3 linked regions of the Alligator mississippiensis genome follow. The protein of the gene in region 1 interacts with the protein of each later gene in a pairwise test. Links are inferred from orthologs where the notes say so. Each region holds a gene or a part of one and is shown in the gene's direction. Other genes may lie near its edges.

Region 1 (7,804 bases):
GGAGTTTGCTAGGCTCCACGCAGACAGAACACGAACAATCACGTGGAGTTTGCTAGGCTCCACGCAGACAGAACTCTGGATGTCCAGGACAAGCGTGCATAAAACTCGTTGATACGTCTTATAGTAGGCTCCGTTCGAAGACGGGAAGAGGTGGGCGGTGGATCAGGCCGCCAAACTCCTCTGGGCAACACACAGGGTTTCTATTACCCTGCCGCGTACACCCAGAGTCCCCACAAGATGGATGTGGAGTCCTCTTCGGCTTGGGCGGAAACTGCTCAAGCCTCTTATACGGCTAGCCGCCACGTGTGAATAATTTAGAACTAGCCAATTGCGGGGCACAAATTTGCATACAACAAACGGGAACTCTTTGCACCGTGCATTTCTGTGTTGCAAAGGAAATGCACCCTGCAAAGACTGCTGCAAAGTGGCGGGAACACTCCTTTGCACGCTGGTCCTCTGCGCAGCAGAACTCCTCCGTGCAATGAAGCTGTAAACCCACGGGGATAATTCTTAGTGCCAAAGCACACACAAAAAATCAGACCTTTGGGTCATGACACCATGCTTCAACAAACTCAATTAATCGAATCTGCTCCGATGCACTGTAGTTACAGCACGTATAGGCAGCCCAGGAGTCTATGGTCGGATAGGACATGTCCACACGTGTGTGGACAGGGTTTTTTGGATAACCTTTTTCCCCCAAGATTATCACATTCTTAGTACATAACTTTCAATTTGGTTTGAAAAAGGACACTGGTCTTATAAAATGATGATTTCAAATCAGAAGACAAGGCTTTATTGCTTTTGCATGGTACATTGGTCTGGAATCAATTATCTCCCTTGCATTTTGGACAGTAAATAACATTCCCATGTTGATTCATGCAAAAAAATAAGGACATAAAACAGATCTCAACTTCAGTTGGCACTTATACGCCGATTAGTGATATTAAAGTGTTTTTAGACTTTGGAAAGATAACTAATTAACCATCTGGATTTCACTTATCATATGCTAGTACAAGGTGCATACAAATGTAGTGTATCTGACTTAAAATAATTATAGAGGTTGTGTTCTTTTCAAAGGACCATTTCCCCAAGCTGCTTGGCCTTTGTTTTAGAGGTACATATTCTTTGTGTAATACTGTACCTATGGCCATACTAAAGGAGGTGAGGAAAAGGATATAGCTTTTATTGATTGAAAAAACAAAAACAAAACAAAAGTTTTAGTAACATTTTAACTAAAATTATAGCAATAGCTTTAACTGCTGACAGACATGTGGAACCAGTGGTGACTGAGCCAGGATTATGGGAAAGGTTATTTAAACTTATTTCAACCCAGAATGGAAACTAGCCCTGTCATGTTCACTTGTTTATCTTTGATTTGTATTAAAACATGTGCTTGTGGGCAGTTCTGTCCACTCAGTGTTCACATGAAAAACTGTAAGGTGAAAAGTCCACTTGGATCAGGATGAAACTTTTCATAGAGTTCTATCTACACGATATGCTTACTGAGCATTGGCCTAATAACAGTGCACAGCATGTCATGGCAAAAAACATGCTAATAGCCTGCTACGCAGTGTTATTAAGTTAATGCACAGTAAGCATCACTAAATAACTGTGCGCCAGCGCTAATTCACAGTAACTTTAGGTATTTAGTTAGTCCTTTATTAAGGAAGTAGTAAACTAAATGCACAGTATCTAAGGTTCATTAATGAATGTGTAGACACACCCAGTAGCATCCAACCAGATTCTGAAACCTTTCTCCATGGTGTAATAAGGGCATGAGAAAAAGGAACCTGTCAAATCAGACAGTAACAAATTGAGAATGTCTTTATATTCCTTCCAAATGTGTCAAAAAAGAATCTAGGCTCTCTAGAAACATGTTGCCTTGTAGGAGTGTGTGATGCAGGCCCTATTCAGGGACAGTGATTCGATTCGTTGATTTGGATCACTGTCCCCGATTCGATTCTCCCAAATCTAAATCTGAAGATTTGATGCTGATTCAGAGAATCAGCGATTCAGACATAGACGCAGCTTTAAATAGTTTTTCTACATACCTTGAGGTACCAGCATGGCTCGTGAATGCTTCAATGTTGGGGTGGATGGAGCGGCCCACAGGAGTGTTGGGGAGCCCTCCACATGCTTGGCAGTGAACCCAGAAGTGGACCAGAAGTACTTCTGGTCCACTTCTGGGTCCACCAGGGAGTGCACAGGGCCTTCCCCCCACCCAATGCATTCCCCCCCAGTTCGGCGATTGGCCACAGGGGGACCCTGGGTAGCCCCCCAGACCCAGGAGACACTAGTTGCTGAGCTGGGGGGCATGGAGGGGGCCCCCCCGCATGCTCCCCGGAGGACCCGGAAGTAGACTGGAAGTGCTTCTGGTCCACTTCCGGATCTGCTGCTGAATGTGCTGGGGAGCACCCTGTGCTTTTGTGGGACACTCCATGCACCTCAGCATTGCAGCATTCACAAGCCACCTGCTACCTAGAGATATGTAGAAAAAACATTTAAAGCTGTCTCTATGTCTGGATGTCCACATCTCCGAATCAATTCGGAGGGTTCCAATTTGATTCAGAGAGATTAACGGGTCCTCTGATTTGATTCTGATTCAGAGATTTGGCCACTTAATCTGGCCAAATCTCTGCTGAATCGAATCAGGGACTGAAGCTTCACACAGACTTATTGCTTTGTGCTCCCCCAGTTCCTTTCTGAGATAAGCAAAACTCTCTTCTAAATTCCTAAAGATGATATGCTGATAGGTTGGAGGAAGCACGTGTAAAGAAAAATACTACACTGCACACCTGAGGGGAAGGGACTGTGAAAAAGAGAGGTCAATATTACACTGTGGGCTCAGACTGCTGTAACTGAGAACACTTTGCAGGAAGCAGTTCAGAGAGTTACAACAATGCCCTGGACCAAACAGAAGTTCACTATTTGTTCCAGGGAGGATCTAGCCACTGGCTGGGAGCCTGCAGCCAGTTTCCCCTAGCAACAGCCCCTCTTCTCTCGGCCTGTCTCTGTTTCAGAATGGGAGGGAGGAAAGGGAGCTTGTTCTAGGGGTATAACCTTGGGGGGCTCCAATACACTCACCCCAGCCTCCTGCAGGGGCTGAAAAAACCTCAGACCAAACTGCCTGTACTCCCATTCTGAAGACAGCAACACACACTGTAGACAGACGTTAGGAAAAATGCTGTATTTAGAAATGTCTTCATCTGACCCCTCATCCAATTTTTGAAGTGGTCTGCAGTTCTGAATTTGTGTTTGGTCATGACTATAGACCACTTTCTTTGGCCAGATTGGGTGAAAATTGTCACTTCTGCCTGTGCCCTAAACTAGGCAAGGTTCAAGTGATCATTTTATGAGCCCAATAAAGTATACCCAGACTTTGAAAGCACTCTTGAAAGCATGAGGTAGTGAAACCTGGGTGAGGTTCACGCATTCTGGAATGGATTTTTCAGTCAGGTAAATTGACTTTCTTTTCAAGTTTAATCATTAATGACTGGGAGATATGAATAGGAAGGGGTTGAAAATCAAATGTATTTCACAATTTTTGAAAATGTTCACTTTGAAGTTTTCCAAAAGGAGTGAGGGTTTGGTTTTTTTTTTTTTTAGAAGAAAATTCAATTGTCAGATTTTTTTTTATTTAGTTCCTTTTCTTTTAGACACTGAAAAGGGAGAAGGACAGAATAAGAAACCAGAAAATAATTTAGTTTGATTATGTTTTAAAAAAAAAATCATTTTTGAGAAAAGGATATTTTTTGATGGGGAAGGGGGGAAACAAACCTTTCAACTAGCTGATGAAGCTGTGGTAAAGATAGCAAGGAGCTATTCTTATCCCACATTAAAATTAAGAATGTTTCCCAAAATTAAATTCCCAGTCTGGGAAGGATAGACTTCCCTCCCACTGATGGTGTAAAGAGGCGCAAAGGAGTGTGCCACAGGGCACTAAGGTGCCTGCTCCTTTAAGAGCAGAAACTGCCTAGGGAGAGGGCCCTAGGAGCCAGACAGAAGCCCCACAGGTGCAGGTTACTATGGAGACAGACTAACGGGGGAATTAGCCTGCATCTGTACCCGGTCAGCTGACTGGAAGAAGGCAGGGCCCTGGGCACATATAAGCCCCAGGGTTGAGACTAGTAGGAGTTAGTTCTCTAGCAGCAGCCAAGGAGAAGGAGCCTCTAGGGAAGAATTGCCCAGGGATGCAGTGACTGCCTGATATGCTGCATATGGGGCTCCAGAAGCTCAACAGGTACCCTAGCCTACAAGGCATTTAGTACTGGGGAAAGTTTGACTTCTTAAAGGGATAGAGCATGCCCTGAACTGCTTATCTTATGTTATAGCCCAGGGAGTCATATTTTAGTTGCTGTTTATAAACACCGGTGGATTGGGCTGAGGCTATTGAGGAAGGAGGAGGCCCCACTGGGGGCCCACTATGGTGTAGGAACCCCAGCACCAGAGAAGGGCGCAGCAACAAGGGGGTGAACAGGCCCTGGTGCCAATGTGGGGTGTGGAGACAGGGCTCCAGAGAGCCTGGTGCTAGTGTGGGCAGGGAGACAGGGCTGCAGAGAGCCTGGCAATTACCAGAGACCTAGCTAGTCTAGGGCCTCAGATGTGACCTGGTGTGAATACCAGCTGTGAGGCTTGGGGTGTGGTAAAAGGGTGATTTTGGAGCCATGCATCTAGCCCATAAGGCTGAGGCTGTCCCATGAGGCATCCATTTTGAAGCAGGACCCAAAAGAGGTCTAAGAACCCACAGGGTTCAGTGGGGTCCATCAAGACCGTGTCCCCAACACAAACTAGAAGGCAGCCTCCTGATTTTACTAGTATTACCAGCAAGATGTGGCAGTCCAAAAAGAGGGTGCCCATGGGGCAGAATTGGCATGGTCAAGGAACCCTAGGGATGTCACGGCCATCCTTGGGGACCCCACGCCGTGACAAGAGTTAAAATAGACAGAATAGCTCCAAAAGGAATATAGAAGAGCAGCATCTCTGACACCTTGTCTTCCCCCATTGTGTACCCATAGGAATTTGTCTGAGAAACTCTAATGTTTGGATTCTTTGGCTTTGTTTAGGGGAGCATTGAAACTCTTGGGGGGGGGGGGACAGACTAGAGCAAGCTGCTTTTAGCAGCTGGCTTTCCACAGGAACCAGTGAAAATCTGTACTTTCTGTGCAACTAACTTTCCCTTCCTGCCCCTATGAGAAAAAGGAAGATTGGAGTAGCCAGTGAGCACACAGGACCTTAGCAATCCACATGAGTAGGAAGGAGAAGAGGGCCATGCAGGGTAGTGCAGGACAGCCCTTTTCATGTGGTATTGATAGCTTTCTTTTTTTGGCAAATGCCTCAAACTTGCAGCAGTTGTAACCCCTGTCCTGGGTCACCAATGCAACATCATGGGATCATAGGAATTTGAGGCTGGAAGGGACTTCTTGAAGTCATCTACCTGCAGAATACAGTAGTGAGGAACTTGGGAAATTGCTGGGTTCAATATCTCTTCTCATAAGTTTCCTTACTGTTACTGACCTAAAGTCACCTCTCTGACAGGGGGTGATAATCTCATATTTTTGTGAACTGGGTCCAAAATGACTTGCATCATATACAAAACATTTGCCAGACATAGAGGAAATAATGTTAGTCATAGCACTATGCTTGAAACAAAGGGTTGAAAGGAGCTCTTTTTCCATAAAGGAAAATAAGGAGACTAGTTAGTTTTGTGTTGGTGTTTTTTGTTTTTTTTGTTTTGTTTTCCCCCCTTAGACTAGGGTGGCATAGACCTTTCTGTACAGATACTATTTACTGAATGTTTACAATAGTCTTATAACATTCTAAGACCTCCCAGCCCAGATGCATAATCCAGTTGTCCACACTCACCAGTACTATGATAAAAAAAGCAAAAGCTGTGTTAACCGGCATTCTATTGTTTTACTCCTTTACTGGTAAACAACTAGGATTTTGCCAGGATGCATCCTCCAGAAGATACGATTCATCCCATTGCCCTTGCATGGCACTTCCTCACTAAAATAAAGCTCCTTTTAATCCTTCCTTTTTGCCAAGGTAGAAAACTCCTGATATTTGTAAAATCAGGGTGTGAGAGGAGGCAAACTCCCAGGCCAAATCACAGTGCTGGTCTGCCCACCTGTCTGTTGGCAAGCCACCCACCTTACTCACCTGCCATGCTTTGTTAAATAATCCAGATGTTACTAGGTGGGAGGCTGCCCTTTGAGTGCCCTGCTGCCAAAGGGTGGTTCTCACATGACTGACCTCCTTTTTATTGTGTCTCAACTCGCAGATGTCATCCAGTTTGTTCAATAGATCTGGCTTGCAGCTAGGTCAAGCTCAGACTTAGGCCTCACTCACTCTGCCACCCCCTCTCACTGGGGCATCTGACACTCTGCTCACGCTCACCGAGCTTGTCGCACTGCCTGATCCTGAGTCTCCCCCTCCCTCTCCCTCTCTCCTCCCTTGAACGGCTCCAAGAGGCTTTCGGGCTTCTCCTTGCACTCCTTGAGTAGCCCTGGCTCATCCTTTTGGGTCCCTTCTTTGGCTGTCATCCGAGTGGTAACCACTCGATCAGCCCTACTCCGGGCTGACTGCCCCTAGCCCCTCACTGGGCAATGCATCATTTCTGCCCCCTCCTTGTGGCCAAAACTCTGCCCCTTTTGCTGGGGCTCTGGGGTCTTTCACTCCTGTAGGCTCAGGTTCCTCAACCTAGCATACCTGGTCCACTACTCTGCCCTCTCAATAGGGCCTGAGGTCTTACACCCCTGTAGGCTTGGGGGGCCTCTACCTGGCCCACCATTCCAGGGTCCTACACACCTGTAGGCCTCAGGTGCTTTTGTGTAAGTGTGCCTGGCTTTCCCTGTTCTCACAATAACCCACCAGATGGTGGATGCTGGGGTTAAGGTGCCTCGCCTGCCTTTCACCAGGGAGGTACTGGCCTGGTATTTCTTGAGGGCTCCCTTGCCACAGTGAGTCCCATCAAGCTACCCATCCCCAGCAGGGTACAGTTTCAAGTTGTACCCAGGGCCAGGAGCCTCCTACCATCCCCATAGCTCCTGCCCTTACCTCCAAGATGTTCCAGGAGCAGGGGCTCAGCTGGGTATTGTTGCTCTGGCTGCCAGCAGCAGACTGCTGCCCCAGCCCTGAGAGCAAGGGCCTAAAATGGCTGCCTCATCAAGGCTGGCCTGCACTTTCCTGCTGCCTGCTCCCAACCCTTAAAGTGACAGACACTGAAAAGGTGCTCTGTCACACAGGAATAGTTAGTACATTGAATGCCTGATCCAGTGGGAAGATTCCTATTGATTTCAGTGGTCTTTGGATCATGGCCAAAGACTCAACATTTACTGACCTTCATTTCATGTATGTAATTACCAAAAATATATAGGCAGTAACAAGTACTGTACATTATTGCAGGCTGATAGTCTTGAAAATGGAAGTTGCTTGCTTATCCACAGAACAAGCAGAAGCAGGGAAACGTATCCATTTCCAGTAAATGCCTTTCTAACTTGGAAGAAATGTCCATCAGAATGGTAGGGTGGTCTCAGCAACGTGATTAAGTACTTGGCTTCTCTGGCTAAATTAACAATATGATTATCATTTGTAGTGGTGTTTATTTTTGTAATGTATACAGTTGTTCTATTACAATCTGTTTGGAGGCCACGAGAGTGAGAGTATGTGCAGATGTACTTGTTTATTTGCTGGGCTGGCTGCACCAACATTTTTTTTTTTTTTAATTTAAAACATCTAGGCACTCATTTTATAACTTAAAAAAAATGTGCCCTGTCATGGCATTCCCACATGCTGATACTTCTGT
Region 2 (7,930 bases), on another chromosome or scaffold:
GCTGGTAAGTACTTGGGGTGGGAGAGAGGGGGCTGGGGGAGGGGAGAGGGGACCATGCAGGGGACCCCTGCCAGCCCCCAGCCCCTGCCTGCTCCTCCAGCCCCCCTGCCCCACCCGCTCACTCCCCCAGCCCCTCCATGGCTGCCCCGCCCGGCCCAGCTCCCGGCCCTTTAAAGAAAAGCCCCAGGGCTCACCGGTGCTGCCAGGTAGGGGGTGATCCCTGATGCTGTCCACTGCCCCACCCTGTACTGGGGGCTCTGCACGAGCCTCCTGATCCCCCCACACTCCCCCAGTGCCCCCATGGGTGCCCTGCCTGGGCCAGCTTTGGCCCTTTAAGAAAAAAAATGGAGGAAAGCCCCAGGACTCACCACTTCTGCAGCAGCCTCGGGCTTCGTGGGACTTGTGCAGAGCCCCCCATGAAGTGTGGGACAGCGGAGGGCAGTGGGGATCACCCCCCGCCAGCAGGAGTGGTGAGTCCAGGGGTTTTCTTGGGTTTTTTTTTCTTAAAGGGCTGGAGCTGTGGCAGGCAGGGCATCCATGGTGGGCTGGGGGGAGCAGGGGGGGCCAGGGGGCTCACAGCCCCCCATGCAGTGGGGGCAGTGGGGGCAGTGGGAGGCAGTGAGGATTGCCCCCCCCCCCCCCCCCCCGGCAGTGCCTGCTGAGTCAGAGCTTTTTTTTTTCAAGTGCTGGGAGCTGGGGCGGGCTGTGGGGCATGCACCTGGCTGATTCGGAGACTTGGCCAAATTGAATCAGGACAGTGATTTGAATCACCGAATCGAATCACTGTCCCCCAAATCAGCCGAATCCGAAGCAAATACTAGCTGCTTCACACAGGCCTAGTAAATGACGAGTTCTGCAGCTGGACAGTGCACCTTGATGCAGCTGCTTTCAGATTTTCAAGGACAGCTGGAGCTTTTTCAAATTCCTCTCCCTATATTGCTTAAGCTTATTAAGTACTTCTGATACTGAGCGGCTAAAAGGGAGTCCAGTGTTCAGACAGCAACTGCTACAAGCTGAGGGATTAATAGATTTGGAGGTTATAAACCCATTAGTACTGCACTAATTATACGTGATACAGTCTTGCTGGATCTTCAAGAGGTGTTCCATACTTTCAAGGATTGAATCCATATGATTTAAAGCATTTAATCTGGGTGAAGTTCTAAGAAACAACTGAATAAAAATCGCTGTGCTAACAAGTTATAAAATTAATACATGCACTGAAACCATAGACCGACCAATTGTGTCACAGTCCATTTATAAACCTGGATCTCTTGCGTAATTTAACACCTCCTGGTTAAAGAAAAACTTGATATTGCAGGTCTTTTCCAATTCCACATATCCAGATTACCATTTAAACAGCCTGAAGCTAGCAAAGAACCAGAAATAAGCAATGCATGTTTCAAACAAACAGCCTAATATCCCTTTCACTTATGTGAGTTTTAAACATCAGTAGATTTATTTCTGATTTACAACAGTGTAATTGAGAAGATAAATGGACCCAAAATCAGGCATTTCCTCCAGGATTAATAATGCCAATAATGGGCTCTTTTGACCTGGTAGAGAACCGAAGTACCAGGAACCCAATCGTAAATCCTTTAGGCCACAGTGCCTACCAAAAACAGCTTATTTTGGATTTGTGTAGAGTATAGGTGTTGACTTTTATTTTGGCTGAGGGGGACCTAAGATGATGGTCATGTAGAAAGTTTTATGCATTTCAGGTGACAGCCCTCTTCCCGAGGGGGGCCAGGGCCCTCAAGACCCCACGTATTCAGCACCTCTGGTGCAGAGTTTCTTGGAAGAGGATACATTTAGTTGCACAGTTATCACATGAACAATGCATGCCTATCACTGTGTAAGATGTTCCCTTTTTCACAAATGTGAAAAATCCATTTCCCATTGTGGTGGCAGGGGCCATCCTCAGGGTCCAGAAGTGCCAGAGACAGACCCCAACACCCCTGGTGGAGGGCTCAGGGACCCTGGCCCTGCTCAGAACTTACCTGAGAGATGGGACAGGGACAGGAAGGAGCCGCACGAGCTGGTGTTGCACCGGCTTTTCAAGCAGCTGTCAATCAAGCTGGGCAGCTGATGATGTCAGCTGTGACCGCCTCCATGGGAGATTTAAAAACCCTGGCAGAAGCCGGGTGCAGGAAGAGAGGCAGGAGGCGAGACGCCAAGCTCTCTAGAGAGTTGCCTGGCAGAGCTGACTCCCGGAAAACGCTGCCCTGCTGAGAACAGGCAGCAGCAGCAGTTGGGAGCCGGGCGAGGCGTCCACATCTCTAGTCCCAGGGGAAGGGACTCAGAGTCAGCCATCACCTCTGGAGCCCAGGATGGGCATATCCAGCCTGGAGCCGGCCATAGGTCTGGCAGACAGAGACCCAGCCTGGGGGTAGAGCCAGGAGAAGGGAGGCAGCAGTGAAGGGCTGGATGCAGCTACAAGCCAGCAGTTTGAGTAGAGGCTGGGGAGTCTGAGCCAGGAGTTGGCACAGCAGCCCAATGCAGCTGGCGGTTGGTGAGTGGATGGGGTGTAGGGGAGGCAGAGCCCCAGGACTAACTGCGACAAGTCTGTGAGTACTCCCGTCTCCAGGTGATGAAGGAGAACACCACTGAACCTCTCCTTTTAGTTACAAATTCCATCAAGTCGTGGCAGATGAGTTGGGGGCCCAATCCAGGGAGCAGGGGGATACCCACAGCTCCAGCTGAGGTCACCACATGCATACATGCAGTGGAAATTCTAGGTGTATGGCTTTTTCCAACTAAATCTAAGCATAAAGAAGCCACTTAAGTAGAATTTTCAGTGCCATGTAATTTAACATGATTTGGGGAATCTGATATGTCACATCTGGTCATGCAGAATGTTTTTGGCTAGGTTATTTCCTTTGAAATTGTGGGAATCCAGAATCTGTCATGTTAGCCATGTGTCACTACAAATGTATTTTTCCAGTAATTAGATTACAGACCAGCTAGGACCTTCAGTGATCATAAAATCATAGAAAGTTAGGGTTGGAAGGGGCATCAGGAGGTCATCTAGTCCAACCCCTGCTCAAAACACAACCATCCCCAACTATATTATCCCAGTGAATGCTTTGTCTACCTGGGTCTTAAAAACCTCCAAGAATGAAGATTCCACAACCTCCATGGATAGTCTGTTCCAGTGTTTTACTACCCTCCTCATGAGAAAGTTTTTCCTAACATCTAACCTAAACTTTCTTTGCTGCAATTTGAGACTATTGCTCCTTGTTCTGTTACTGACAACACTAAGAGCAGTCTAGCTCCATCCTCTGGATCCCCCCTTCAGGTAGCTGGAGGCTGCTATTAAATCCCCTCTCGGTCTTCTCTTCTCTAAATAAGCCCAGTTCCCTCAGCCTCTCCTCATAAGTCATGTACCCCAGAGCCCTAAGCCATTTTCATTGTCCTCCCTTGGACTTTCTCCAGTTTGTCCACATCCTTTTTGTGTGTGTAGGGGGAGTTGAGAGGGGAGTGAGAAAGAAAGCAAAACAGCACACAGTACTCCAGATGTGGCCTCACTGGTGCTGAACAGAGGGGAATAATCACTTCCCTTGATCTTCTGGCAATACTCCTACCAATGCAGCCCAGTATACTATTAGCCTTCTTGGGAACAAGGACACACTGTTGGCTCATATTCAGCTTACAGTATTGTCCATTGTAACCTAGGCCTGTTTCTGCAGAGCTGCTGCCTAGCCAGTCAGTCCCTAATCAAACCTGAATCTCTCCTATACTATCTAAATTTTCAGATGAATACAATTTATATTTTGCCATAAAATCTTGGGCATATAGAGTAACTATCATGCCATAATAATCTTCTAAATATACTAACATCTCAAATTAGTATCACATTAGGTTATTAAAGACTCAAAACTTATTTTTCTAAAATCTTTGCATTTAGGCCCCAATCCTACAAAAAAAATTGTGTTTAACCTTACACACTGCAAGTAATCCTATTGAAGCTATTGCCATGCCTTCACTGCAAAAAAGTGTTTTTGTAGATAGTTATCTTAATACAGAATCTTATTAGGGACAAATCACTGTAGTTTCTGTCTTGATGTAGATGAATAAATTAACTCAAGTGGAGAGTATATAGTTGCCCTCAACTAAAAATACCAAGGTAAAAACTACCCATTACTTTACATCAGAATAGTTTTTTTGAGTGTAAAAACCTACTTTTTCTGAAGACAAAAGTCAATTAGGCAAAATTAAGTATCTACATAAATCTTTGCAGTATCAGAGTCTATCTTAATTGTATGAAGTATAATAGGAAGTTAAACTTCTTAAATCCATATGTGACTGTTACTACAGTTTCAGCATTTTTGACTTGAGAAAAAAAAGCTACATGGCATCAGAAACCAGCCTACCTGTGTCTATCCTCTAGGAGCAAGCCCCAAATAGGAATAAGCTGTACATCAAGCTGTCACACACTTTCTTGCACAACCCCTCTCTCTCTCCCTGGGGCTATTTTTAGTTTTCCTGGATGAAAATTGTTTCTACAGGGCACTCACATGCACAGGGGACTCGCACACACATGCTAGAAAAACACCAAGCACAAACAGAAAAGGTACGCAATTTCTCTTGCCTCATGGCAGAGAAGGATTTCTGGTTTCTCGTAACAAAATGACCACAGGAAGTCATTCAAGATGGTGTATAAATTATTCTACATCATGAGCCTTCATCATTTTCAAATTTGACGGGTATTTGCTGCAAAGAGAAAGAACTGTTTGCTGAGCTGCCTGTTAAACAACTTCTTCTTTCGGGTAGTTTCCTTCCAGGTTGCACGATCTTCCTGTTTTTTTTCTTTCTTTGTTAATCTGTTTCAATTTGATTTCCATGCCGTCGGCTGTAAATGTTGCAGTGGCTCAACAGACTGAGGCTGGGTCAGCTCCTGATGCTACCGTTAATACAACCACTGAAGCAGGTGGAGGTGCAGGGGGGATCTACTCTGCTATTATCAGTCGAAACCAGCCCATTATTAAGGTACAGGAAAAAGCCTATGCAGAACTCCACAAGAAATGCCTGGAAAAGAAGATTCTGTATGAGGATCCCGATTTTCCACCTAATGACAGCTCCCTCTTCTACAGCCAGAAGCTCCCCATCAAGTTTGAGTGGAAAAGACCTCGAGTGAGTAACTTATCTACATAAACTTATAAATATAATGAATTCACTTACCCATGTAGGAAATGTATTTTTACTTGTTTTCCCAGCCTGGAAAATTACCTTCTAGGGATGGGGAAGTGCTGAGAGAGAGAAAGAAAAGTAGAGAAAGAGTATAAAAAATTAACTGAACATCAACAAGAGATTGGAATGAAGTTCTTTAGTCTTCTCTTAATGCATTTTAACTGGCTTTTACTTGTCTTGATTTGTTTGGAATTTCCTCATCTGAAGATACCAGTCAAAACAAGTTCTAACTCCTCCTCTTTCTCTAGCATAGGCAAGTGGGCTTATGAAGATTTATTTTTTCCACTTCTATTTTATTGATGACATTCTTAATTTTACTTTATTACATATAGCCACTTGGCTGCACTTATTCCTTTTTGGAAGTGCTAAGGTAGAACGAGGTATAGATAAATGCTGATCTACTGTTTTTATGTACTGTGAAAATAAGGGAACAAGCTTTACTCTAAGTTAGGGCCAGTGGATCCAGCAGATCCAGTGAAGTTGTCACTGGATCTAACAGAGCAGAATTGGGACCCTATTACTTAATTTTTTTGTCATCATTTATTTCAAGCAACAGTTATTTCAAATGCAAAGTTTGTTATCCTATTATTTGCCTGCCATGAATTAGGGGGTGGTATTAATAATTATTGCCATAAAAATATATTACATTTCTCCTCAGAGTGAAAAGTGACCCTTCAAAATGAAGGGCAGGAAAAAAAGATGATGTCATGTGATGTACAGGGGTAACCCAGACATTCTGGGATAAATGCAGTATGGATTTATATCTCAAGCAATTTATCAGAATTTAATGGTCAGAGACTGCAGCAAAACCAGTCTTGACATATAAGATAATTCAATCAAAACTAAGGCATGGATAGACATACAATTAACTCTATTTTAGAGGGACAGGGATGGCTTACAACCTCTGAGTATGTGTCTGCTGAGCCAATTCAAATGTTTTATCTGTCTGCTGTTCACTTGTGATAAATTAAGTTAATTGCAGTAATTTACTACTGATTGAATCAGATTTATTACTGAGGCTCAGCCTCACTTACTGTAGTTGTCTATGACAGGGGGGTTCAACCACCAGTTCAATGGCCAGATCCAGCCTACAAGGCCATGTCGGCCAGCCCATGGGTCTCCCCACAAGGTTGGTAATTTAGCAGCATGGGGAGCAGTGGCAACGTTAATTGTCCCAACCATGGGAAATATCCACCCCATGGATCAGCCTCAGGCCACTCATCCAGCCCAAGGATTAAGCACTACTGGTCTATGGCACAAAGAAAGCAGTTACATCAGGTTCAGCTGCCATGCAGTTCCCTCCTTTTTAAAGCAATTTTGTTCCCACTGCAAGAGGAAGAATTTACTTTGGCATGAGTTGAAAACATTTCAGATAATGTCTGACATGTCCACTGCACAGGATTTCTATACATACACATACTGCATTTGAAAAGGTCCTACTGACATGTCTGACAACTGATGTGCTTTCCTACCTTCCTTTTGGAGGCTGAGGCAGCAACATAGTGGATGAATGTCAGAGAAAAAAGTGACTGGAGATATACACAAATGCCAGTAGTAATATGGGAAAAGGTACCCACTCTACACAGATATAAATGACTGCAGAAGGTAGAAGGCACCGATACATCAAGCCTTTGGTATCTGGGCAAAATCAGACTTCTGGAACCCGATCCCCAAGATCATTCTTTGATGATCCACCTTTAAGAAGTCATCAGTGATGCAATTTCAAAAGGTGTATAATAATTGGGTTAGCACAAACGAAGCATTCAGGAGCCATAAGACTCAAAAGGGAGGCGGTAGTCATAGGAGACCTAAACTACCCAGACATCTGCTGGGAGACGCAGACAGCAAAGTCCCGCCAGTCACGCAGGTTCCTATCCTGTGTACAGGACCTCCATCTGACGCAGGAGGTACATGGGCCCACTAGGGGGAATGCCTTACTGGATCTGGTATTGGCAATGGGGGATGACATGGTAGGAGACCTACAGATCGGTGGTCACCTGGGGGACAGTGATCACCAAATAATAGAATTCACCATAAGACGTCGAGTGGGTAAGGTAACTAGTAGGATGGAAGTGCTAGATTTTAGGAAAGCTGATTTCAATGAACTCAGGCGTTTAGTCAAGGACGCACTGCAGAGGAAGAGTTTTAAAGAGATGGGAGCCCAGGAAGGGTGGCTGTGCCTTAAGGAAATGATCCTTCAGGCACAGAGGGAGATGATCCCGATGCAGGGGAAAAGGGGGAAAGGGGCCAAGAGGCTTCCTTGGCTGACCAGAGAAATCCAGAGCAGTCTACGGGCTAAAAGGGGGGCATATAAAAAGTGGAAACAGGGAGAGATTACTAAAGAGGAGTATACCTCCTCTGCTCACGCTTGTAGGGAGGCAGTTAGACAGGCCAAAGCTACCATGGAGCTGAGGATGGCATCCCAAGTTAAGGATAACAAAAAATTGTTCTTTAGCTATATAGGGAGTAAAAGGAAGGCCCAGGGTGGAATAGGACCTCTACTAAATGGGCAGAAGCAATTGGTGACGGACAGGGGGGACAAGGCTGAACTCCTCAACGAGTTCTTTGCCTCAGTGTTCCTAAGCGAGGGGCAAGACAAGTCTCTCACTGGGATTGTAGAGAGGCAGCAGCAGGGCGCCAGACTACCAAGTGTAGACCCGGAGATGGTGCAGAGGCACTTGGAGGAACTGGATCCATTTAAGTCGGCAGGCCTGGATAAGCTCCATCCAAGGGTACTGAAGGC
Region 3 (8,301 bases), on another chromosome or scaffold:
GAAGAATGTTATGCCCTATGAAATCTATCCCAGACATTGTGCATCCTTCAGTGCACATCCAGCATAGCAGGATGTACCATTTTTGGATACGGCATAAATTCCTCAGATCCCAATCTTATTATTATATTAACATTTTCTAGGGGCCTATTTAATACATTTTTCTATATCTTTTAGTGCAGTTGAGTACACTGAACACAAGAAAAGACAGCACCAAGTAACTGCTAAGGGTTCTATTGCTAAGTTTGAGAACAACTGGGTTAGATTATGACTTATTAAAGTTTGAGACGATGACACAACAAGTTGCAGTACAGGAGTGATAATAACTGGAGGCTCTCTACAGAGGGCTGAGCCAGATAGAATGCCATTTTGGATGCTGATGAGGAAAGAGTGCTCCTGAGTAGAATATTTATTTTTGACAAACAGTTTAATAGATTTCATAGACATTAGGGCTGGAAGGGACCTCGGAAGATCATCGAGTCCAGCCCCCTGCCCAAAGGGCAGGAAGTCAGCTGGGGTCATAGGATCCCAGCAAGATAAGCATCCAGTTTGCTCTTGAAGGTGTTCAATGTAGGCGCTTGAACCACCTCCGATGGCAGGCTGTTCCAGACCTTGGGGGCTCAGACAGTAAAGAAATTCTTCCTTATGTCCAGCCTGAAACGGTCTTGCAGTAGTTTATGACCATTCGACCTAGTCGTCATCCCTTGGGGCGCTCTGGTGAACAAACGTTCCCCCAGATACTGGTGGTCACCCCTGATAAACTTGTAGGTGGCCATCAGATCACCCCTGAGCCTGCGCTTTTCCAGGCTAAAGAGCCCCAGGGCTCCCAGCCTGTCATTGTAGTGTCTGCTTCCCTGACCTCTGATCATGCGCACGGCTCTTCTCTGGACTCTTTCAAGCTTCTCCACATCCTTTTTGAATTGTGGAGCCCAAAACTGGACGCAGTACTCCAGTTGCGGCCTCACTAAGGCCGAGTACAAGGGGAGAATGACATCCCAGGATTTGCTTGAGAAGCATCTATGGATGCAAGCCAGTGTTTTGGTCGCTTTACTAGCCGCAGCATCGCATTGCAGGCTCGTGTTCATCTTGTGGTCAATGATGACCCCCAAGTCTCTTTCTTCCATAGTGCCAGCCAACATAGCACTGCCAAGCCTATAAGGATGCTGCAAGTTTTTCTTCCCAAGGTGGAGAACTTTGCATTTATCGGCGTTGAACACCATCAGATTCTTGTCCACCCACTTGCTGAGCCTGTCCAGGTCAGCCTGGATCACCCGCCTGTCTTCTGATGTGGATGCTTTGCCCCAAAGTTTGGTGTCATTGGCGAACTTGGCCAGTCCACTTCTGACTCCAGTGTCCACATCATTAATGAAGATGTTGAACAGTATGGGTCCAAGGACAGAGCCTTGGGGGACCCCACTGGTCACAGGACACCATGATGAGTGACTTCCATCAATTACTACCCTCTGGGTCCGACCCCGGAGCCAGTTTTCCAGCCAGTGGATCGTGGAGGACCCAAGGCGACAATTGGCCAATTTCACCAAGAGGTGATCATGGGAAACCAGATCAAAGGCTTTTTTGAAGTCAAGATATATGACATCAATCTCTTCTCCCTTGTCCAGGTGATAGGTCACCTGGTCATAGAAGGAAATGAGATTGGTCAAGCAAGATCTACCCGCAACAAACCCATGCTGGCTATCCCTTAAGATGTTGGCATCGGCCAGTCCATTAAGGATGGCCTCTTTAATAAACTTTTCTAAGATCTTCCCCGGGATAGAAGTCAGGCTGATGGGCCTATAGTTAGCCGGATCCACTTTCCTCCCTTTCTTGAAGATAGGCACCACATTGGCCTTCTTCCAGTCTTCGGGCACTACACCAGAGCGCCAAGAGTTTTCAAAGATCTGTGCTAGAGGCTGGGCTATGATGCTCGCCAGCTCCTTGAGTACCCTGGGGTGAAGATTGTCAGGGCCAGCTGACTTGAAAGTATCCAGCTTCTCAAGATGTTCCTTCACGAAGTCAGCATTAATGGAGGGCAGGGGATCACCCTCACCCGGACTTCCCTGTCCCATAGCGGGCATGGGCGTGCCATGAGACTGATGAAAGACCGATGCAAAGTACCTATTTAATAGGTTGGCTTTTTCCTGGGCATCAGTTGTCAGTTGCCCCATCTGGTTCAGCAGGGGTCCAATGTTGCCCCTGCTTTTCCTTCGGCTCCCCACATATCTGAAAAAGGACTTTTTATTGTCCTTGATGCTCAAAGCTAGTTGGAGTTCAGTTGCAGCCTTGGCTTTCCTGGTATGCTCCCTACAGGACCGGACCAGTGCAGAATAATCCTCCTTGGAGGTGACTCCCATCCTCCATCCTTTGTAGGCCTTTCTTTTTAGCCTCAGGAGGTCTGCTAGGTCCCTGGAGAGCCAGGGGGGCTGCTGTGCCCTCTTGCTGCCTTTCCTCCGAGATGGAATAGACTTAGTTTGTGCATTGAGGATCGCTCCCTTGAGGAGCAACCACTCTTCTTGAACTCCCCTCTCCCTGTGGTCATGGTCCCTTAGGGCCTCACTGACAAGCCTCCTGAGCTTGTCAAAGTCGGCTTTCCTGAAGTCAAGGACTTCCGTGTTGCTGACTGACTTGCCAGCTTTTCGGCAGATGGTGAAGGTGATCAGCTCATGGTCACTGTCACCCAGCTTCCCATCGATCACTAGGTCGCCGACTAGGTCATCCCCAGTAGCCAGTACCAGGTCGAGCACCGCTTTGCCTCTTGTTGGCCCATAGACTTCTTGAGTCAGGTAGAGGTCATCCATGCACAAGAGGAAATTTTGCGACCACTCAGATTTTGCTGAGCGATCCTCCCACGAGATGTCTGGGTAATTGAAGTCACCCATGACAACCATGGTCCTGGAGCATGCGGCTTCAGCCAGTTCCCGGGCAAACTCCTGGTCAAGCTCAGGACTTTGGGTGGGAGGTCTGTAGTAGACTCCCACCATTGTGTCCCCTGTGCCGTGTTCCCCACAGATTTTAACACAGAGGGTCTCCAGTCATCCATCCTGGTCGCCAATATCGGCTTGCAGGGACGTGTAGCTTTCCTTAACATAGAGAGCTACACCCCTGCCCCTTTTCTCTACATGATCCCTCCTGTACAGGGTATAGCCATCTATACCCATGGTCCAGTCATGGGTGGAGTCCCACCAGGTCTCCGTTATCCCTATGACATCATAATTATTTTCATTGAGCAGGAGGATGAGCTCCTCCTGCTTGTTCCCCAAGCTCCTGGCATTTGTGTACAGGCAGGCAAGTGTCCCCTGGGGGGCTCCTTCCTTGCCCACAGATTTTACCAGGGCTGGGGCAGGGGTGGGCTCCCTTAAGTGTCTTGACCCGCTGGCTTTGCAAGGATTGCTCAGCGGGCCAGCAGTGGCGGTAGTCCCCCCGTCCCCCAGTGGGCTTAGTTTAAAGCCCGGTGGAGCAGGTCAGCCAGTCTGTTTTGCCAAAATGCATTTTGGCTGGAAAAAATGGAAATGTTGTCAAACAGTTCACTCTAGCATTACTGAAATATGTTAGTTTGATCTTTTTGGAGTAGATAAAGCTGACTTAGGTGCTGTTCACACAACTGAAGAGGAGAGTGACGCTCCCTGATATAATAGAAAGAGCTGAACACTCCATGTGGAAGCCCATGATTCAAATTCCACCTATGTCCAGAATAGGGACTGAAGCTGAGAGATCCATTCTACCAGGACAGTGCTATAATCATGAAGTATTTCTCTGATTCAATTAATATTTAATTACTTCTACAAAGGGAAGGACTCCAATAGAAGAGGCTCAGTGACTCACTCAAGAATATCTGACAGCCGTACTGGTTAGGACATAGTCCTGAGAGGTAGGATTATCCAAACTAACTTTAATTTCAGCCACCAAATCAAAACACAAAATCTGTTCTGATGTTTTCACTTCAGCCACAAAACCAAAAAATCAACTATGAACTGCAGGCAGTGCAGCATAGTTGTCCCCCCAGTGGCATCCTTTAATATCCAGTGTGGGTGGTAGGTTAAAATAGCATAGCTTGTGAGCCAGCAGATAAACTAAGAAATGGGCTCTTGCATCTTGTAGCTGAGGACCAAAGCTGAGCCCTAGTTACAGGAAGAAGCCAACAAATATAAAAGTTCTTAGAAAGATTTCATTTATTGAATGTTCAAAATCAAGCTCAGCCAGTGTTCTAACAGAGCCCAATTTATATGTTGTTTCCCAATTATAGGATATTCTCTAACTGACTGACTTGTCTGTGAGTCTCTGATAAACACACACCACAAATTCCTATTCACTCTTTGTCCCTTATAAGCCACTCTGTCCCATTCACTTCCTCCACATTCATTCACATATCAGTGTCCCATTCACTATTCTCTCCCTCCCATACATTTTATCATTCAATTTACTAAACATTAAGGAGGGAATATGGCATGGTTTTTGGATGAGGATATTGAAGAACATTCTCCATGAATATAAGAACTGAGCATTTTTAGCTGATACTATAGCACTGTGGGCCTCTGTTCATTCATCTTCTTAAAAACCATGAAGGCTAAATGAAACACACAGAGCCTTTAACACACCCAGTAACATCAGAGTTACAAATGAAATAGTGAACTAAATGCAGACTTGTGGGCAGATTCTCAATTGACATAAATTGTCATGGTCCCATTGACTTAATTTATGCCTGCTGAGAATCTGTCTGTAAACCTCAAACTATGACCCTATTAATGCATAATTAACTAGTAACTCTACATTAATGACCTGATCATTTGAATTTCTTTAGAATTAATAGTACTACATAATCAAAGGAGCCCATTTGCTACTGATGTGCTACCTTCAATGCTGTCAGTTTTCCACTGTTATCTATCATTCATTAACTAGTTTCACTGAATAAGCAACTATGTTGTATTTGCCTATACACGAGATCTAAAAGCTGATTTTTGTTCTGCAGTCAAAGCATCGTGAGACTAGGGAAGTGACAGACGATGAAGCATTTATCGATTTCTAACTGGCTGACCCAGCTGGGACTCACAGAATACTGCACACTCTTTGATGAGCAGTATGATGGTGTAGAGGTAAGAAAATGGATTTTCAGGAAGATTGCCATGAAAGTTTCAAATCAGACTGACACAGTTAATCTCAGAGGTAGTAGGGGAACAGTTAGAAAATAAGAAATATGAGCTTTACATTAACACACAAATCTCAGGTGAACAGCTGAATTCTGGTTAGGATTTGAGAAAGAAAGAATTGCCCAAGTAATCCTTTATTTTTAAATTGAGTTTAAAGAAGATTGAAGAGAATATAAATTAATTATGGAAATGATTTGTTAGCTTAATGTTAGTTCCAACCTCCTGTAAATGCATAGCCTCTGAGAAAGACACAACTATGCAGGAGAACTTTAGAAAAACTGAAAAACGATCTTCACCTAACCTATTCCAAAAGAACTCACATAATTGCTGGACCATTGCAAGCTACAACATTACACTTACACTATCTAGTCTCTGCAACTGATTTTATTTTAGCCAAAAGATCAACAAACTATTATTGAAGCATATATTCCTTTTTTGCTTTGGGGTTTTAATACTCATAGTAAATACAAATACATTTCTTAACTGAATTCTTTCAAATATAAACTATTTATCAGTACTTCTGCTGGGAACTAAAAAAAAAGATAATTCAGGACAGTGTGTAATTTTGTGTGAACACAATGAAGTCCTACATGCATCTCCATGCAGAGTTAGGGTTTAAGGTCTTGAAAGTCTAATGTGTAATGCTTTGTGTCTACTCATTCATGCTAACAACTGTTGGAGCTGATTCTATTAAATTAGTACTTCTTTGCAATGTGTATTGTTGGCTGAAAGACAAAATGATTGGGGCTTTTATTTTTCATAATTTATGGATAAATAAACTATTCTTTCTCAAATTTAAGTAATGTGATTAAGCAAGACACAAACAGGATCCTGTTTCTATAATCAGCTTCTGTAAACTGTAATGCTTATTACCAGGAATAGTCCCATTAATTACTGTGCATGGAACTACTCCTAGTAGCAGGCAATATATAGTTATTTGCCTGATAGGCCTAAGGACAGAAAGATGAAAGCAGGGCTTTGTTTCATCTCAAACAAAAGTAGAAAGAACAAAAACACATTTTGTAACTGTTTGCTAAAACTTATTGCGAACACAGCCACTTTGCCAAAATGCAGCAGTATAGTCTATTTGTCCTGTACTAAGCAAAGCCTCTCAGTTTGTAACACTAAATCAGTGGTTCTTAACCTTTTTTGGGCTTGAGGCACCCTTCACTGGACTCAAGGCACGCCTTCATAACTTTTGTGAATTGACTGGCAACCAATTTCAAAAACTAATTTATAGTACAGTGCTGACCTACTTACAGAGGGGCCAGATAGTGGGGTAGAGGATGGTCAGACAGGGACAAGATTGAGCCTGTACTTATCTACTTATCTTATCACCTCTTACATATCCTCAAACCTTATATCTGGCACCCTTCAAGGTGTCACAACCCAAGGGTGTGATTTTTGTTTGTGTGTGCTTTGGTACTGCTGAATTATTTCCTGCCACTTGTAGCTTTCTTTGCAGGGTGTATTTCTTAGTTGCAAAAAGAGAAATGCACGGTGCAAGGAGTTCCCGCCATTCGTATTCAAATTTGCGTCCCACTATTGGCCAGTTCTAAATTATTCCTATGTGGCGGCCAGCGATTGGCTTGCTAGCCGTATAAGAGGCTTGAGCGGTTTCCGCCCAAGTTGGAGGACTCCACAACTATCAGGAGGAGGAGAACTTCACATCTCGTGAAGATCTCTAAGCGCTGCAGAGCCTATCGGACCCAGCGTGTATCTCAAGAAGGCTATAGGGGTCTGATTAGCCTCTCGCCTCTCCCCATCGCCGCCTGATCCCTCGACATACCCTTCCCTGCATGCAAGTTCCACGGAGCCTAGCAAACTTTGTGTGAGTGAATCCAGAGCTCTACCCGGGTTCAAGTCCTGCAGGTCTATCTTCCCGTCGCCGAAACCCCATTGCAACGTACTCTCGAGGTTTTTGTTCATCTTCCCGTCGCCGAAACCCCATTGCGACGTACCCTCGTGTTCTGCAGGTTCGAGTTTTGTTTTGTTTTGTAACGGCAACTCAAGCAAGTTTTCCTGCCTGCACCGCGACCATCTTCGGTGTAAGTAAAATACTCTTAAATCAACCACTAAGCGTCCGTGCCTAATTCTAGCGTGCCGCCTGCCTTCCCCGACCCGGCATGTCCGGGCTGCTGGCCACAGCCCGCCGCGCGAAAAAAGGGCCTCGGACCGCTCCTGGCCTGCACACAAGGGATCTGACAGGACCCTAGTGTTCCCTGGCACCCTATTTGAGAATTGCTAAATGGTTACACTTAGGGTGCAGACAGAAGTTACATTTTTCACATGATCTGGCCCCTGAAAGTGCTCTGCTGCCATGACCTAACGCATGTGGACAGCTGCAGAGTGCTTTTAAAATGGCTGATTGCATGAAAAATTAACCCTTGTCAAGTTTGTTATTAGATCAAGGTGCTCTGCTTTAGTGCACCCTAGAGAACTCGTGTTCCCTTGAGGGTTAATTTTTCATGCAGGGTCAGGGCTGTCAGCCAGGAGGGAGGGGGAAGCCAGCAGCACAGAGCTGCTAGCTTGTGTGGCCTGAACTGGAGGAGGGGTGGGAGTGTGGTACAGAGCGATCTCTTCTCACAAGCCTGCCCTGACCCCCCCCTCCCCCATCTTGGGTACTGGTGGGGAGTCAAGCTGGGCCTGCAAGGTAAGAGGGCTCCATTCCCCTGCACCCCCCTTCCCCAGCTCCAGCCAGGCCTTTTGAAAATGGCAGCAGTAGCTGCTGACTGCTGTGCCCAACCTGAGCTGGAGGAGGGGGTGAAACAGAGCTCCCTTGTCTCTTGGGTGTGATCCAGCTCCCCCTAGTACTCCAGCCAGAGTAGCTTGGTGGGGGGATTATGAGGCATGGGGGCTCTGTTCCACCCCCCAGCTCAGATCAGGCAAACCAACAGCTCCATGCTGCTTTCCCCCTCCCTTCTGGTTGACAGCCCTAGAGCTGAGAAGGGAGAATGAGGATGGGGAGAGGTGCAGTTGAGCAGCCTCCTTGGAGGCTGCTAGAGAGCACCTTTTGGCTGACCAAGGGCCAGTGCAGGCAGGCTTAATCCCTCTGACCCAATGGGTAAATGTCTGTTGTTCAGAAGGGGCTCTAATTTGCAGCGCTTTATGTAAAACACCATGAGTTAAAGCATGACCTGAACCCTTAGTAAAGTTAGAACAA

What was found.
Region 2: the proteins of OSGIN1 (region 1) and CAPN3 interact in binary tests that used the Homo sapiens proteins (3 or more experiments, as listed by UniProt). The two-hybrid records come from large-scale screens. The link is inferred for Alligator mississippiensis from reciprocal best matches to the Homo sapiens genes OSGIN1 and CAPN3.
Region 3: the proteins of OSGIN1 (region 1) and BCAR3 interact in binary tests that used the Homo sapiens proteins (3 or more experiments, as listed by UniProt). The link is inferred for Alligator mississippiensis from reciprocal best matches to the Homo sapiens genes OSGIN1 and BCAR3.

Annotation. Positions count from the first base shown.
Region 1 is NC_081833.1:43,815,811-43,823,614, reverse strand, and holds the start of OSGIN1 (oxidative stress-induced growth inhibitor 1), read left to right. Parts: upstream 1-4,127; 5' UTR 4,128-4,240; intron 4,241-7,056; exon of another isoform or gene 7,057-7,191; intron 7,192-7,804. UniProt on the Homo sapiens protein: Monooxygenase catalytic activity. Involved in regulation of cytokinesis; promotes RHOA activity, probably acting locally at the midbody in late cytokinesis.
Region 2 is NC_081825.1:237,677,777-237,685,706, reverse strand, and holds the start of CAPN3 (calpain-3), read left to right. Parts: upstream 1-4,439; 5' UTR 4,440-4,839; coding exon 4,840-5,130; intron 5,131-7,930. UniProt on the Homo sapiens protein: Calcium-regulated non-lysosomal thiol-protease. Proteolytically cleaves CTBP1 at 'His-409'. Mediates, with UTP25, the proteasome-independent degradation of p53/TP53.
Region 3 is NC_081828.1:33,801,161-33,809,461, reverse strand, and holds the start of BCAR3 (breast cancer anti-estrogen resistance protein 3), read left to right. Parts: upstream 1-4,963; 5' UTR 4,964-4,994; coding exon 4,995-5,084; intron 5,085-8,301. UniProt on the Homo sapiens protein: Acts as an adapter protein downstream of several growth factor receptors to promote cell proliferation, migration, and redistribution of actin fibers.